3 linked regions of the Saccharomyces cerevisiae S288C genome follow. The protein of the gene in region 1 interacts with the protein of each later gene in a biochemical or structural test. Each region holds a gene or a part of one and is shown on either strand. Other genes may lie near its edges.

Region 1 (3,081 bases):
GATTTCACAATACCAGGTGGCAGACTATGAGTCTCCAATTCCACAGGAAATCTTAAGATACGTTGCTGATATAGTTAAGAAAGAAGCTGCGTTATCTTCATCAGGTAATGATTCTAAGGGTCACGAGCATAGCAGCAGTATATTTATCACTCCAGAAACAGGTCCATTTACTGACCCATTCAGTTTGATAAAGACAAGAAAATTTGACCAAGTAGAAGCCTATATACCAGCGTGGTTATCCTTGCCCTCAACTAAGAGAATAGTTGACCTTGTTGCCCAACAAGTCGTTCAAGACGGCCACTAAAACTGATGGCGCGAGAAACAAAATTGTACATGAATGCTAAAAAAAGAAATGACAAAAAAAGAGAAAAAAAAAAATGAAACTACATAGTTAATTAATAATAGAAGTATTTGTCAATAGTATGATAATGAAATCGATATTATGGAAGATATTAACCGCGCGCCGTATTAGTGTACACTATATTAAACTACATTTTGCTTCTTACTGAATTTATAAATTATGATTATATTATTATTACTATTATGACTACTGTATATATTTTTTAGAATTAGCATCGGGAACCGATGAGCGTTAGCTGAAATGGACGACGATAGGAACGATAATTACCACTAGTAAAATAATAACAACTAAGAATAAACACATTCTCATTTTTAGATCTTTCCACCACATTTGCTTTCTGACCCTGTTGGCGCCTCTCTTGAATCCTTGTGCGGAGATAGCCAAGTTATCAGCTTTGTCCTCAATGGATGTTAGCCTTTCACCACGTTCAGCAACCTTGTTGATATTATCTCTCATTATTCCCACCGTGTCATCAATCTCTTGTCTCAAAGCAGCAGTCTTGTTTTGGGAATTTGGGTTTGCGCCTGAGTTACTCTCCTCTGGAGGCACATATGGATCGTATGGCACTGATGACGACATCGTTGCGCGTTCTTATTTTGTATTTGGAAGTGTTTCGAATGTATGCCTGACTTACAGATACTATTCACTGAGCAGATAGTTTACCTTTCTATAAAATATTAAAGGCTGTTTCAACCAAAACTTGAAGGAAAACTAACTGGCTCCCCGCTTTTGCATCTTTTGGGTGCGACAACTGGTGTTTGTTTGGTTGCGCTGCACCATTCGCGCTATAATGCCAAAATCCGAAGAATTTTGAGCCACTTTTGCGGAAGACAGGGAGAAAAAATAAAAAAAAAGTCACGCGTATATCATGTGACCAAGATCACTATAAACGCTCCGTGGAATGCGCTTTTAGGGCGACTGAATGATTCCATGGTCATTGTTACAGCCGCCCGTGGCTTTGTTCCACGGACTGATAAAGGGATACGCTAAGACCAGAAAAACCCTTAATATTCAATATAGTACAGTACTACTACAGAATTGGTCGGCATATTTTTATTTTGTTCGTATTAATAATACACCTGCTGTCATCAGTACCAATAATTTGATAGGTTTTCCCCACATAGTGCGCCTTATGTAAGTATATAAGGAAGGACGGTTGGGCAAGCATCTTACTTTCTTATCTCTCCCCGTGACAGAACCATAGAAGATATCTAGCGTTATTATATTTCTATACTTAGTAAACGTTTCCGGTATAGTAGAAAAATCAAACAATAATTTCTGGTCTTACATAGTTGTTAGGATGTTGCAAGCGCCCTCAAGTTCAAACTCGGGTTTGAATCAAGGAAATGCTGCGCCGGACGGCCCACCTAACGAAACACAGCCGTACGAAGGCCTCGACGCGGCAGCTCAAGAAGAAATAAAAGAATTGGCAAGAACGCTGACGAGCCAATCTTCCCTTTTATCGCAAGAAAAGCGTATTACCGGCACTGGCGACCCGAATACACTAACTGCTGCTTCTTCATCGTCATTGAGCCGGTCAATTTTCGCTAGTGATATCAAGGGAGTTAACCCAATCCTTTTGGACGTCAATGATCCAGACTACGATGAGACATTGGATCCTCGATCAGAAAATTTCTCGAGTGTCAGATGGGTACGAAATATGGCACAAATATGCGAGAATGATTCGGATTTCTATAAACCGTTTTCATTAGGTTGCGCCTGGAAAGATTTGAGTGCCTCCGGTGATTCTGCCGATATAACATATCAGGGAACATTTGGTAATATGCCCATCAAATACTTGAAAATGAGTTGGAGGTGCATATCCCGACGTCTTTTCCACCGGACACATGGCAAGAGTGAAGATAATGACTCCGGTTTCCAAATTTTGAAGCCGATGGACGGATGCATCAATCCGGGGGAACTACTTGTTGTGCTTGGACGACCCGGTGCAGGATGTACTACGCTGCTGAAATCTATATCTGTAAATACACACGGATTCAAGATTTCTCCGGACACAATCATCACGTACAATGGATTCTCCAACAAAGAGATCAAAAACCATTACCGTGGTGAAGTGGTCTACAATGCAGAATCAGACATTCACATCCCGCACTTGACAGTATTCCAAACTTTATACACAGTGGCAAGACTGAAGACACCAAGGAACCGAATCAAGGGTGTCGATAGGGACACATTTGCCAAACACATGACTGAAGTGGCAATGGCAACTTACGGACTGAGCCACACTGCAGATACAAAAGTGGGTAATGATTTTGTTCGTGGTGTATCCGGGGGAGAAAGGAAAAGAGTTTCCATTGCTGAAGTGTCTATATGTGGCTCGAAGTTTCAGTGCTGGGATAATGCCACGAGGGGCTTAGATTCTGCTACCGCGCTGGAGTTCATCAAGGCCTTGAAAACGCAAGCCACTATCACAAAGTCTGCAGCCACTGTGGCCATTTACCAATGTTCTAAAGATGCCTATGATTTGTTCGATAAAGTCTGTGTTCTTTACGATGGTTACCAAATCTTCTTTGGCCCAAGTAAGCAGGCCAAAAAGTACTTTCAAAGAATGGGATATGTGTGTCCCGAAAGGCAGACCACAGCAGATTATTTGACCTCTATTACTAGTCCTTCTGAAAGAATTAAGGACAAAGACATGGTCAAACATGGAATTATGATCCCACAAACGGCCTATGAAATGAACCAGTACTGGATTCAAT
Region 2 (3,600 bases), on another chromosome or scaffold:
AACCTGCTGAATCTGGTCCAAATTCCTATCAATTTCCAATTCCATTTCGTCATCTTCTTCATCATTCTCAAACTGATATCTCTTTGCCTTTTCTAGAACATTCTTCCTCTGATATCTTTCCCGCACCTCACTTATGTTATTATTTGCGTTCATAGCACCCTCTATTCTTTGAGTGGACTGAGACAATTGTTGACTTGTTTGCTCTCTCATTAATTTTTCTTCAATTTTCCTATTCTTCAGCTGCTCTTCCCTCTCCCTTCTCCTTCTCTTGGAATTAAACGGATTAGAAACATGGACAGCCAATATACTACGGTTCAATTTTTTTAGTTCTGCAACTTTTTCATCTGCAACTTTATTTTGCACCTTCATTAAATCTAAGTTTCCTTCTACGTTATTCAATTGTTCACTTTGATGACCCAGCATACCCAATGTGTTCATACCTGCTCTTTCGGCGTCTTGAGCCATTTTTAGTGTATTTCTAGTAGAGGCTACGGAACTCTGTTTCGTAAATTTGATCTCCTGCTTGATTTCATCTACTGCTTCATCTTCTTCCTGCTGCTGGCGAGCCTCCTCTTCTTTTTGTATTTCTTCAAATGTTTTGTAACCCCTTTGATCTCCATATTGGTTATTTGTTGCGTTAAAGTGTTGCTGTTGCTGTTGCTGCTCATCCATGAACCACTGTTGCTGCTGCTGCTGTCTTGAACTATGATCAACTTCGGACGCATTTAAATCTATTGAATCTTCATTCGTCATTACTGCATTCAAATCAGGCTCATCTAATGCCGCTCTATTTTCTGCAGACTTGTCAGCATAAACTTCTTCAAAATCAAATTCACCTGTTCTAGGTTCTTCATTTAAATCAACTTCACTATTGCGTGCTGCTTCATCAGAAGCAATAAAAGAGGGCGTATAAGTCATTGGAGCTTGTTGCGATTGCGGTTGACGCACACTTCTACTAGAATATGGATTTGCAGACCTGTTCAAATTTCCATTACTATATGAGTCGTTCGCCATAGAGGCGTATGGATTTGCATTCTTGGAGCTTCCTTGTCGAGTACCGCTAGATCTATTAGTATTGGAGTCATACGCCCCGCCATAACTATTCATATCAGCGTAAGGATTTCTCTTTTCTTGCATCGGGTTTGCTAAGGGACTTCTTTGGTCAAGCGATAAGCTGTTGGTCGACGTTGAAACCGGCGGTTGCCTTGTTTGCCTCGAAGGCCCTACGTTTAAAGTGCTGTTTGAATGATTTAAACTATTACGGCCATTCGCATTCACCCAGCTGTTTGAAGTATTTTGGTTACTATACGGGCCATCGTTATTATATGAATTCAGAGATGTGCCATTGTACCCCCCTCCATAATCACCATAAGGCGCAGCATTGACGCTACCTCTCCCATTACTTTTATTAGCTTGAAACCTTGCATAAGGATCGTCATCATATCGGTAATCATCATTTTCGATAGCGTACGGATCTTGCATAGAATTGGATTCTGCTCCATTTCCGAGATCTTGCGTGCCACTTGAACCTCTATTAGAACCAGCAGTTGCCTCGTTAGCATTGGCATCTAAGGGAGAAGCATTCAAATCCTCAAGTTCATCCTGTGGCCTAGCATACTGCTCATAACCTGGTGGCGCGTATACCTTATCTTCAGCTTTATCATTTGCAAATTTACCGTAGGCGGCAAATTTCTCTTTTCTTTTCTTGCTAGGGTTTTTGACACTAATACCCAGTTCCATCAAAGTATCCTTGTTCTGTTCTGGTGTCGCTTCCTCTGGAGGCTTAATCTTAAAAAATTTCTTTAATCCCATTCTTTTGGTGTCAATGGTGTATTATTCCGAGTTACTCCAGGCTAGGTTCAGGAGTACCAAGAATGTACTTTATTTATTTATACACCGGAGCAAGTCATATAATTACGCAAACGATTCGAAATTGTTAAAAGCAGGATCAACGTATCTCATTTCTTTTTGAAAGACGGGTAATAGAAAGTCTCTGAGTCGCACCCCACATGGATATCGTACTATTCGTATATGGAATGTAAAATACTCGCAATACGATTTTATTTAGCTTCACAATCTCTCAAACTTATCGTCTTGATCAATCTTTACGTTTTACCAAATAATCGCCTGTTTCTGGCCATTTTTTGCTTATACCATCTACCATACTCGCTGTCCATATGTGACGGTGTCGTCTCCAAGAAAAATAACAATGTAAATTGACCCAGCGTGACGACAGTAGACTGTAAGTTATAGTACAATCATACTCTACCTTAGTCACTGTTCCTCCACTGTTAAGTAGAGAGAGAGAGAGAGTTTAAAGTGGAGAAGGCAAGAAAAAGTGCACTTATTACGTAATGGATCCCACCAAAGCACCCGATTTTAAACCGCCACAGCCAAATGAAGAACTACAACCACCGCCAGATCCAACACATACGATACCAAAATCTGGACCCATAGTTCCATATGTTTTAGCTGATTATAATTCTTCGATCGATGCTCCTTTCAATCTCGACATTTACAAAACCCTGTCGTCAAGGAAAAAAAACGCCAACTCAAGCAACCGAATGGACCATATTCCATTAAATACTAGTGACTTCCAGCCACTATCTCGGGATGTATCATCGGAGGAGGAAAGTGAAGGGCAATCGAATGGAATTGACGCTACTCTACAGGATGTTACGATGACTGGGAATTTGGGGGTACTGAAGAGCCAAATTGCTGATTTGGAAGAAGTTCCTCACACAATTGTAAGACAAGCCAGAACTATTGAAGATTACGAATTTCCTGTACACAGATTGACGAAAAAGTTACAAGATCCTGAAAAACTGCCTCTGATCATCGTTGCTTGTGGATCATTTTCTCCCATAACATACCTACATTTGAGAATGTTTGAAATGGCTTTAGATGATATCAATGAGCAAACGCGTTTTGAAGTGGTTGGTGGTTATTTTTCTCCAGTAAGTGATAACTATCAAAAGCGAGGGTTAGCCCCAGCTTATCATCGTGTCCGCATGTGCGAATTAGCATGCGAGCGGACATCATCTTGGTTAATGGTTGATGCCTGGGAATCTTTACAATCAAGTTATACAAGGACAGCAAAAGTCTTGGACCATTTCAATCATGAAATAAATATCAAGAGAGGTGGAATCATGACTGTAGATGGTGAAAAAATGGGCGTAAAAATCATGTTATTGGCAGGCGGTGATCTTATCGAATCCATGGGCGAGCCTCATGTGTGGGCTGATTCAGACCTGCACCATATTTTGGGTAATTATGGATGTTTGATCGTGGAAAGGACTGGTTCTGATGTTAGGTCCTTCTTGCTTTCCCATGATATCATGTATGAACACAGAAGAAATATCCTTATTATCAAACAACTTATTTACAATGATATTTCCTCTACGAAAGTGCGGCTTTTCATCAGACGTGGAATGTCAGTTCAATATCTTCTTCCAAACTCTGTCATCCGTTACATCCAAGAGTATAATCTATACATTAATCAAAGTGAACCGGTCAAGCAGGTCTTGGATAGCAAAGAGTGAGTTTATTACAACTCTGATACTGCAGCAGTTCAAATTTACCACTTTCCTCTTCAAGGTG
Region 3 (3,578 bases), on another chromosome or scaffold:
TTGGACATGCTGGCTCAAGAAAATGCTAACCAAGAAACGTCCAAGATCGTTAATAATAATGTTAATGCGGCGCCTATCTCAGAGAACAAAGTCTCACTACCTAGTGTTCCAAGTAATAAAATTAAACAAAGTGAGAACTCTGTGAAGGACGGGGAAGAGGAAGAGGATGAAGAAGATGAAGATGAAAAAGCATTAAGAGAACTACAAGCAGAAATGGGGCTTTGAACGTGTTCTATGCGGTTTAGATGAAAGAAAAAAAAAAGGTGTTCTTACTTTCCATGTTCTGTATACGCTCTTTTATATACATGAAGTTCATAATGCTAAGTCATAATTAATAGTTTTTATTTTTTTGTTGTCTTTTTTTTTTGCGTTCATAGGTATAGAAGGGAATGTGCATTCATTATTTTTATCTGTTATTGCTATATTATTGTACAGAAAAGATGAGAGAAGGAAAAAAAATAAATAATCAAATATGTATCTTTTTTTCTTTTACTTTGCTTTTAATTGACTAAAACCCAAATAACGAAAAATACAAAGATTATAAAAAAAACCTTTGCGGCTAACCATCTATTACTCTTTATCCTGTCGAAGTATTTCAAAAGTTCCCTTTGAGCACCACTAATGTTTAAATCGATGTCGTCTACGTTTGCATCAATCCTTTGGATTACTTCGCCCTGTTCTTGAACCATGGAGGCCAGTTGTTGGAAGAGATTTCCCACTTCCTGGATTGTGGATTCTATTGTCTCCACCGCCCTATTTCTTTCTTGTAAGTAGACGTTATTGGATAACTGTCCCTCTTCCATTAACATTAGTTGAGAGTCGTTTTGAGGGAAAGACAGTTCTCCTTGGTTGGACGAGTTGTTATTCTTTTCTGAGGATTCATCTAGTAGTGAGGTCATGAATGGGTTGGAGTTGTTATACGTGGTCAAGTCCGCGGCGTGATTGCTTTGCGTTTGGTCATCAGCTGGTGCATGTCCAGTGTCGGTGGTTAGTTTTTGCCATCTGTCTTTGTTAGCCATTTCTAGTCGTTGCCTTTCCTCCAATACGTCTTTAAAACTTCCTGATATGTTTTTCATTTGCGTGTTTAAAAGATTTACGACATTTTTGGAGTGCTGTACGGCACTAGGTTGCTTAGAAGATTGATTTGATGTGTTGCCATTCACGTCGGTTTTCTTGAGCTGACTTAATTGCACTAAACTTTGTTCGATGGCATAAATCTTCCTTTTGATCAAAAATGATAGCTCGGCAATCTCTACAGGGTTGTCATTGAACATCGGTTTCCTTTTGGCCAGCACTGCTAATTTCGATAATAATTGTGCGGTGGATGAAATTTCGTGAGCTATGCCAGAAGCCTTTTTTTGAAACTCAGAGACACTTTTCCCATTGCCGGTTGTGTTGTTGGCAAAGTTTTCACTTTCTTTCTCTTGTAGACGTTCCCTCTGCTGTTCTCTAAAGTTTTTGTTTCTTTTCTTGTAACTCAACACACTTTGTTGAAATTCTGAAGTTCTATCCTTTATGTTCATGGGAGTTGTGTGGTATGGTGAAATGGTCGTTGGAAACAGAGGTGGAATAAAATATATACAGTAAAGAGTGGGTGATTTCCGTTCAAAGGTCTAACAGGAGCGTCGATGCGGCGGTAGGATTTTTTTTTTTTTTTCAATTTCTATATTGACATTATTATCATAATGATTGTTTCGAATATGCCCTTTCGCCTCGCCTCGATCAATAAACCTACCCGGATATTACAACAACATAATAATACACCTGTGAAGGTAAAGAAAGAGCATTTCTCTTTTTTTTATTTTTTTTTTTTTTTACTTTCTTTACATTAAAAAAAATATGAAGAGTGTAATAGGTAAGTATAAGTATTATTTAATCATTACAATTTAGCTTCAATAGTATAGAAGCGCACCACTTCATCAATGGCTTTAGCCACGTATTCCACGTTTCCTTGATTCAATCCAGCAATAGAAGCTCTACCTGAGGCAACCAAGTAAACTGCGTGGGTTTCTTCAAGTCGTTTAACCATTTGAGGAGTCAATCCTGTAAAGGAGAACATCCCGCATTGATTTACTATATGATCCCAGTTGCCAGGAGTGCCCAACTTGACTAAATGGTCTCTTAATGCGTGCCTCATTTTCGTAATTCTGGAGGACATGGTAACCATATCCTTGTGCCACTGTTCCGTTAATTCTGGCGTTTCCAACAGTTTAGCGACAATCTTAGCGCCGTAGGCGGGTGGGTTGGACACTTCACTACGAATGATTTTGGCCAATTGAGATGTAACAGCAGGCTTTATAGTTTTGTTTTGAGCTTGTTTTGTAAGTGCTAGATGGAAACAACCTACACGCTCACCGTACATACCGGCGTTCTTGGCAAAGGACTGACAGACAAAGACGGGAGAGACCGTTGAAAGCTTCTCCACACCTAGACGCACAGCATAGGCATCCTTGTCCAAATCTCCAGTGGCAAACCCTTGGTAGGCGGTGTCAAATAAGGCGATGTGGTTCTTTGAGGCGATAGCATCAACGATTTGAACCCATTGTTCACTAGTAGGGTCCAGACCAGTTGGGTTATGGGCGCAAGAGTGCAGAACGAAAATGGAGCCCTCTGGAGCTTTTTGAATAGCATTTAGAAAGCCGTTTAGGTCCAAAGACTTAGTTTCGTTGGCCCAGTAAGGGTAAGTCGCCGTTTTCAAGCCTTGATTCTCAAAAATGGCCATGTGGTTGGCCCAAGTAGGCTTAGACAAATAGACCAGTTTATCTGGGAAGAATTTTGAAAAAAACTTCGCAGATATATGAAGAGCACCCGTACCAGACAGTGATTGTACTGAGATTACTCTGTCTTCCTGAAAGGCATCGGATTGCGTACCGAAGATGATCTTGGCGGCGTTAGATGTCAAACTTGGCAGACCGGTAATACCGAGGTATTCATGGTTGTAGGAGCTGTCGTTATGAATTAGCTTTTCGGCGGCTTTAACACTTGGCAAGACCCATGGTTTACCGTTGTCGTCTCTGTAGGCCCCGATACCCAAGTCGACCTTGGTAGCACGTTGATCTTGCCCGTACCTTTGCTTAATACCAAAAAGGGCATCAGGGGGCAGCAATTCGATGTTATTGAACAGAGTGGCAGACATTATCGCTCTTGTGTTCTTGTATTCCTGTGTTCTTTTGTTCATTAGAATTTGGACGGTTGCGCTTTCCCTTCTTAAAGTATCCACATACGTTTATATACCGACGTGCAAGGCGACAAGGTAAATGAGGCCGATCACGCTGACTCACTCGGTCCGACTCTCGGCGATCGTTATTCACGAAGACGAAAGATAGCCATTTCCAGTGGTGACCATTAGTATTGACAATATGTACATCGCATTAAACAGTAAGAAAACATTAATATTCCGTCAGGAATTCCTGTAAATTGCTCTTACTACAAACCTGCAATGCCCATATCATCATATTCAAAGTAAAAATTTCATTTTCCGTAATTATTCTTATCTTTGGGTGCTTTGTGGCAGCTACTGGAGTAATTGTGTATAATAGATGCCACTAGTGCAGTTAAATGAAATATCCTACATTGAG

What was found.
Region 2: the proteins of SNC2 (region 1) and SEC9 form a complex in vitro, tested with the Saccharomyces cerevisiae proteins (5 studies listed by BioGRID).
Region 3: the proteins of SNC2 (region 1) and SED5 form a complex in vitro, tested with the Saccharomyces cerevisiae proteins (3 studies listed by BioGRID).

The regions. Positions count from the first base shown.
Region 1 is NC_001147.6:930,142-933,222, forward strand, and holds SNC2 (SNAP receptor SNC2), read right to left. Parts: upstream 941-3,081; coding exon 593-940; downstream 1-592. Other genes in the region: MYO2 (myosin 2), read left to right, coding at 1-304; ATP-binding cassette multidrug transporter PDR10, read left to right, coding at 1,662-3,081. UniProt on the Saccharomyces cerevisiae protein: SNC1 and SNC2 are vesicle-targeting proteins essential for normal secretory traffic between the Golgi and the plasma membrane. They may also be involved in vesicle fusion.
Region 2 is NC_001139.9:509,191-512,790, forward strand, and holds the start of SEC9 (Sec9p), read right to left. Parts: upstream 1,813-3,600; coding exon 1-1,812. Other genes in the region: nicotinamide-nucleotide adenylyltransferase NMA2, read left to right, coding at 2,355-3,542. UniProt on the Saccharomyces cerevisiae protein: Component of a SNARE complex that may be the effector of SEC4 function in exocytosis.
Region 3 is NC_001144.5:194,950-198,527, forward strand, and holds SED5 (t-SNARE syntaxin), read right to left. Parts: upstream 1,524-3,578; coding exon 501-1,523; downstream 1-500. Other genes in the region: ESCRT-III subunit protein SNF7, read left to right, coding at 1-225; aspartate transaminase AAT2, read right to left, coding at 1,880-3,136. UniProt on the Saccharomyces cerevisiae protein: Required for vesicular transport between the endoplasmic reticulum and the Golgi complex. Acts as a target organelle soluble NSF attachment protein receptor (t-SNARE).